2 linked regions of the Saccharomyces cerevisiae S288C genome follow. Changing the gene in region 1 together with any one later gene gives a genetic interaction. Each region holds a gene or a part of one and is shown in the gene's direction. Other genes may lie near its edges.

Region 1 (4,146 bases):
ACTGCAACGACACAATCGGGGCCAGGGTGGACAGATTCCTCCCAAAAGCTGACTTTCTTTACAGAACAGTTGAGAAATTTAATTATTAAAGAAAACAATCTAAAGTCTAATCTCTTTCCCACTGTTGATGAACTGAATCATTATGTCGATTTATATCAAGTGGAATTTCATAAATATTTCCCCTTTATTCATTTATACTCAATTATACCATCCAGTGAAAACTATCCTTTAGTAATATCCATCAGTATGATTGGTGCTCTTTACGGATTTCATTCCACACATGCACTACTATTGTCGAAAATAGCAAGGACGAGAGTTAGAATGTTCCTAGAAAATACTCGAAGCAATCATGATAAGACACCAATTTGGCTAATGCAATCTTTAGTCTTATTAACGTTTACCAGCATTTTCTCCAATGATATGAATGCCTTTAGAACCGTGAATACCCAGATAATGATTTTGGTTCAGTTGATTAAAATTTCAAAGTTGAATTACCCATTAGAAAACTTCATTAAGCCACCGATCGAAAGTGACCATGTTTTAGAATATCAAGATAACCCCGCTGTTTTGAACCAGTTCAAGGCTCAATACAATACCCGTGAACAAATAAACAGAAATTTCAAATATTTTATCTTAGCACAATCAAGAATAAGAATATGCCACATAGTCCTGCTGATTTCTAACCTCTTTAAATCCTTAGTGGATTTCGATTGTTGTTTTCATTCCATAGATTTGAAGTGTGGTGTTCCTTGTTACAACGAGGTACTGTTCTTTTGCGAAAATTCAAGAACTTGGAATGAGAACTTGACGAGATTCAATATCGTTTTGGATTCCAAGTTTTCCCTAATTGAAGTATCTAATGGTGAATCAAACTACGAGAAGTGCTTGATGTATTTGTCAAACGGTAATCCTTATCTTTATAAAAACGCTAAAATCTCATTCAAGACTTTGCTATCTTTACTGATCTCTATTCATGAAAAGATAAACATCGAAAGAGATGCGTTGAAAGATAGTTACGAAAGCGATTTCCATGCGAAGAATGTTCAGTGGCGGATGCATTCAAGACCCTTGGTCGCCACAATGCTAAAACATTGGGAACTACTTTACATCAAAAATGGTGGGATATTGGCTCTCAGTGACGAAAACCTGCCAATAATAAATACTAATCCGTCGTTTAGATTGATAATTCCCTTGTACTTCTTTGCAAAGCTAAGGAAGTGCCTTGATATTGCTCCAACACTAAGATGCATTTGGAACCAAGACTGGAACTCAATGAATAGCTCTTTAGAAAAAGTGTGCTACGAGCGGGAATCACTACGAGAGGCCACAGAGTACGCTGTATCCGTTATCACTTTCTGGATTGATACTGTCTCTGTAATGAAGGGTAAATCGACACAGACTCCAATCTTCACCATTACTTGTATTTTTGTTTCGATATTGGTCATAGCGGGGTACATGAGGAGATTGGAAGACTTTGCTCAAAACAAAAACAGTGATTGTATGATTGGTAGTTTAAAAAGCACTGACAGGATCTTGTGGTTAAAAGCATTCAAAACTTTGAAGAGGATCGAATCACATTTATCTGAAAGAGAGTATAAATTACAAACATTTGCTGAGTTTTTAAGGGTTCCAGATAATGGCAGTCTTGATATTGAGAGTTTGGACTCATCCTTAATAGAGAATACTTTGAATTCACATGATGTTACCAATCAAGCGCTGGACATAATCACGAGAACAAGATTGTCATCAAGAACATTGTATTGCGGTGCTAGAATTCTTGGCGATACACCAGTCTGGCCCGTATCTCTGTTGTTTGCTCATGCCTTACAATCTAGGGCTATTTACAATATCAACCACAGGAAATCTGTAAACAGTGTATAGACTTTAGATAGATATTTAGCATATCCGTATGTAACATTATATTAGTTCTTTAGGGCAAATTGAAAAATTTAATCATCTTTTCTTATTCTTAAAAGCGTGAAAATCAAAAAAAAAAATCGATGAGTTGAGAACATATGATAAATAAAAACAAGCAAGGTGATCGTCAAACTGCACTCACGCACACATAGATTTTTAGCTCCCAAAGTGCTATCGTCTATACTATCCAAGTTTTTACAGGCTCGCAATAAGCTCAATAAACAATATCAACTGCATATGACTGAACCTGCCCTGAGTAGCGCTAATAACGCTCTGATGCAAAAACTAACAGGTCGACAACTTTTTGACAAGATCGGCCGTCCTACTAGGATCGTTGCACCAATGGTAGACCAATCCGAATTAGCATGGCGTATTCTATCGAGAAGATACGGTGCAACCTTGGCGTACACTCCCATGTTACATGCAAAATTATTTGCTACCTCGAAGAAATATAGAGAAGATAATTGGTCTTCCTTAGACGGCTCTAGCGTAGATAGGCCGTTGGTTGTACAGTTCTGCGCTAATGACCCAGAGTATCTATTGGCGGCAGCTAAACTGGTGGAAGATAAATGCGATGCGGTAGATTTGAATTTGGGCTGTCCTCAAGGCATAGCTAAGAAAGGTCACTATGGGTCATTTTTGATGGAAGAATGGGACCTTATACACAATTTAATCAACACCTTGCACAAAAATTTGAAAGTTCCAGTTACAGCAAAAATACGTATATTTGACGACTGTGAAAAGAGTTTGAATTACGCCAAGATGGTGCTGGATGCTGGAGCTCAATTTTTAACCGTCCATGGGAGAGTAAGAGAGCAAAAAGGACAAAAAACTGGTTTAGCTAACTGGGAAACAATCAAATACCTAAGAGATAATTTACCTAAAGAAACCGTGTTTTTTGCTAACGGGAATATCTTATATCCTGAAGATATTTCACGTTGTATGGAACATATCGGTGCTGACGCAGTGATGAGTGCTGAGGGGAACTTATACAATCCTGGTGTTTTCAATGTAGGCCAAACTAAGAACAAGGAGAAGATATTTCCACGCGTAGATAAGATTATCAGAGAGTATTTCCAGATTGTCAAAGAATGCCAGGAATCTAAAGCCTCCAAGACAGCAATGAAATCACATTTTTTTAAGATTTTAAGGCCTTTCTTGCCGCATCATACTGATATTAGGTCAACACTTGCTACTATGAATGCAAAAGCCACGTGGGAAGAATGGGAGGAACAAGTAGTGAAGCCTGTCGAAAAAGTAGTGCAAGAAATATTTGAACAGCCAGATATCGCTATTAAGGATGAAATTACTATCGGCGAAAAGCAATCATGGGGTGGTTCATATAGAACTGTTCCATACTGGAGATGTCAACCATATTTTAGGCCTGTTAACGGTATCACAGGTGATAAAAGAGTTATGCAAGGCCTCATAGATGAAAGCGTGAACAAGAAACGTAAAGCTGACGTGCCATTAGAATCTGCTGATAAAAAGAAGGACGTGAAAGCTTAAAACCTGATAAAATCCATGTATATTTCTTTGCCTTTTCTATTCTTTTCTCTAAGTATAGTTTTTATGTATGTATATTAATTCAAACAGAAAATGTTCAACTCCGTCTCCATAAGAAAACTTCTTTCAATTTGAACACTTGTATATTCAATCAGAATTCGCCATAGAGAGCATGTCAGCCAATGTACAAGAAGCTGCAAATGCAGCTATAGAGCCGGCCAGTTTCGTTAAAGTCCCAATGCCTGAGCCACCAAGTAGTTTGCAACAATTGATCAATGATTGGCAATTAATCAAGCATAGAGAAGGTGGGTATTTTAAGGAAACAGATAGGTCTCCCTACACCATGGAAGTAGAAAAACCAGTAAATGGAGGCTCAGGTAATACTGAAATGGTAACAAGAAATCAATCTACGTTGATCTATTATCTACTAACCCCCGACAGCCCAATTGGGAAATTTCATAAGAATATTAACAGGATCATACATATCTTACAAAGAGGCAAGGGTCAATACGTTCTAGTATATCCTGATGGTCAAGTGAAGTCATTTAAAGTTGGTTTTGACTATAAGAATGGAGAAGTCTCGCAATGGGTTGTCCCCGGAGGTGTGTTTAAGGCAAGTTTCCTTCTGCCAAACGAAGAATTTGACAACGGTTTCTTGATTAGTGAAGTAGTGGTACCAGGTTTTGACTTTGAGGACCATACCTTCTTGAAGGGTGAAGATGA
Region 2 (3,397 bases), on another chromosome or scaffold:
CCAATTTTGAAACCTTTTCCTCTTGCTCACCAGCTTCATTCTCGGCAGAATAATGATATATATCTTTTTGTGTGTCCACATTAGCTACCAGGTCATAAGCCATTGCTTGATAGCTAAAATCATGTAATATTGGCGCAAAAGGGTCCAGTGTTCTATCGGTGATTATTAGAATGGAACGCGGTCTTTCAGTGTTTTGAGGAGGGAAATCTGGATTATTGCGAGCGTATGTATCTATCGCTATTTGGAAAGCGTTTGCAATAGACCTTGTTAAAGAATTTGCGTTGACTACGGCGTTTCCATTGCGGGCATCTTCCTCTTCCACAGGATTAGATACAGAATATCTAACAATCGGATATTCCCCCGTAATAACACACAAACTAACTAGTGAGCCTACAATCTTCCTCACGTTAGTAGGAATCAAAGCCTTACAGTTGTTGTTGAAAAAAACCTGTAATGAGTGTTCCATTTGTAAAGTTTCGAAGAATTGAGATTCTTTGACGAAAAACCCTAGTTCGATCGGCTTAAATGACTCCAAATTTTGAGCAATGTAACGTTTTGATTGAAAAAACTGAAATATAGGGTTTGTTAATCCTGGTAAAAATCTGATGTGACATCTTCTGTACTTAGGTGGTCTTACCATGAAGTCAGCATCGATACAATTGATGTTATATTTCGTTGGTTCCAATATGTAAATTGCCTCGATGGAGGATTGTCCTTTTCTTGTTGGGGAATCAATCAAATCAACAGATGTGACATTATTTAAAAGTTCTTGGGGTGTGAGGAAAAGATAACTCAATATTGTCTCCACAGTTTTATCGATAATAAGAAACTTCAAGTTATTTTTCGTCTCAATCTGATTCAAAACCCCTATCAAATAGTTCCTCTGTAATTCAATTAAATCAGACATCGTTCCGCCAAACCAAGCATGTGCACACTCTTCTACTTTGTCAGTGGATTCTAATTATTTTCAAGGTCTTACAAAGCAATGTCTTACTAGTTTCAATAGGGACTTAAACTGATCGTTTAAGCAAAAGAAAAACACCGTGCTGTGTGACCATCTACCAATAATTGCGAGAACATAAGACGACGCCGCCATTCACCTCTCTATCACTTACACCATGTTATAGGGATAAGTGTGTAGTCGATCGGCTATTCGATGATTTTTAAAGAGTGCCTGTAATAATAGCTGTATCGCAAGTAAGGAATACAAGATTACTGATATTTTGATCCAGGAGGATGGACATGTTAGATAGAAAAACTAAGAGGGCTACTACATCCGGTTTAGTATTCTGTTATTGGGAATGCTTTTCCCAAGACGCAAGCAAGAGGTGACACATAAACATAGTTTTCTTATTGTATCGTTACATATTCTTATTTTACGCTGCTGTCATTAAATATGGCACTTATCTCAGATACATTTCTTTTAATCAGCGAAAAAAATGGCGAGGTGAAAAAAATCGATGAGATGAAAAAATTTTTTACTAGTAAAGGCGTATTGATGATATATTAGCAGCTAAAGTATAGCAAGGTTTGTCAATTTGAAGCAGTCCGCGTGTTTTACAATGAGCGTCATTCATCCTTTGCAGAATTTACTCACCTCTCGTGATGGCTCATTAGTTTTCGCCATCATTAAGAATTGTATCTTAAGCTTCAAATATCAATCGCCAAATCATTGGGAATTTGCTGGAAAATGGTCTGATGATTTCGACAAAATTCAAGAATCGAGAAACACCACTGCTAAGGAGCAACAAGGACAATCCAGCGAAAACGAAAACGAGAACAAAAAATTGAAAAGTAATAAAGGCGATTCCATTAAAAGGACAGCAGCCAAGGTACCATCTCCAGGTCTTGGCGCCCCACCGATATATTCGTACATAAGAAATCTGAGATTAACTTCGGATGAATCAAGACTAATTGCGTGCGCAGATTCTGACAAGTCCCTCCTAGTTTTCGATGTCGACAAAACTTCCAAAAATGTCTTAAAGTTGAGAAAAAGGTTCTGCTTCTCAAAGAGACCGAATGCTATTTCTATAGCCGAAGATGATACTACAGTCATAATAGCTGACAAATTTGGTGATGTATATTCTATTGATATTAATTCTATCCCGGAAGAAAAGTTTACTCAAGAACCTATTCTCGGTCATGTCTCTATGTTGACTGATGTACACTTGATTAAAGACTCTGACGGTCATCAATTCATAATTACAAGTGATAGAGATGAGCATATTAAAATTTCGCATTATCCCCAATGTTTCATTGTGGACAAATGGCTCTTTGGTCATAAGCATTTTGTTTCTTCCATATGCTGTGGCAAAGACTATTTATTATTAAGTGCAGGTGGTGACGATAAAATCTTCGCTTGGGATTGGAAAACTGGTAAGAACTTGTCTACCTTCGATTATAATAGTTTGATTAAACCTTATTTGAATGATCAGCATTTAGCACCACCAAGATTTCAAAATGAAAATAATGATATTATTGAATTTGCAGTTAGTAAAATTATAAAGTCAAAGAACCTACCGTTTGTTGCGTTTTTCGTCGAAGCTACAAAATGCATAATAATTCTGGAAATGTCCGAAAAACAAAAAGGGGATCTTGCACTAAAGCAAATTATAACTTTTCCATATAATGTTATCTCATTATCCGCCCATAATGATGAATTCCAAGTCACCCTAGATAATAAGGAATCATCTGGTGTGCAAAAAAATTTTGCCAAATTCATTGAATATAACTTAAATGAGAATAGTTTTGTCGTGAATAATGAAAAATCAAACGAATTTGACAGTGCCATCATACAATCAGTACAAGGGGATTCTAACTTGGTGACCAAGAAAGAAGAAATTTACCCGTTATACAATGTTTCCTCGTTAAGAAAACATGGAGAACATTACTCGTGAAATAAAAAGGTAGTAAGTACATCTTTATAACTAATATAAAAAAAGATACGTACCGATTTGTGTTAATAATCATTGTTAGTACATCTTTATACCTCTGTTTCTAGCTGAAGGCGGCGAATTGAATAGCAGTTCTTTTTAAATTGGCAGATACAATAGGATTAATCTCATTGATACATTTTTGTAGTCTATTTGTGTCGTTCTGGAAACAGTTTTGTAAGCACGCCCTTAATGTGGCCTCGGTGTCCTTTTCAAGTAAAGGACCCATAACCTTCTGAAAGAATTCCAAATCCACTATAATTTGTAATGAGCCATCATTAGAAAGATTACCAACATAAGGCTTAAATGCCTCAAAGAGGTATCTGGCTATAAAAATCTGCGTTTCAATTAAAATCTTATGGATGAGCTGAGGCCCAATTCTAAAGCACTCACTGTGAACCACGATCAGAATCATTAACGCTTCTATAATATAGTCACCAACCCTGAATGAATTTGATGTATAC

The links.
Region 2: mutations in DUS1 (region 1) and TRM82 impair growth when combined (synthetic growth defect), as found in Saccharomyces cerevisiae (one study listed by BioGRID).

The regions. Positions count from the first base shown.
Region 1 is NC_001145.3:106,652-110,797, forward strand, and holds DUS1 (tRNA dihydrouridine synthase), read left to right. Parts: upstream 1-2,154; coding exon 2,155-3,426; downstream 3,427-4,146. Other genes in the region: TDA9 (Tda9p), read left to right, coding at 1-1,881; CFF1 (Cff1p), read left to right, coding at 3,596-4,146. UniProt on the Saccharomyces cerevisiae protein: Catalyzes the synthesis of dihydrouridine, a modified base found in the D-loop of most tRNAs. Specifically modifies U16 and U17 in cytoplasmic tRNAs. Also able to mediate dihydrouridylation of some mRNAs, thereby affecting their translation.
Region 2 is NC_001136.10:783,309-786,705, forward strand, and holds TRM82 (Trm82p), read left to right. Parts: upstream 1-1,562; coding exon 1,563-2,897; downstream 2,898-3,397. Other genes in the region: SEC1 (Sec1p), read right to left, coding at 1-907; exocyst subunit SEC5, read right to left, coding at 2,998-3,397. UniProt on the Saccharomyces cerevisiae protein: Required for the formation of N(7)-methylguanine at position 46 (m7G46) in tRNA, a modification required to maintain stability of tRNAs; its absence resulting in tRNA decay.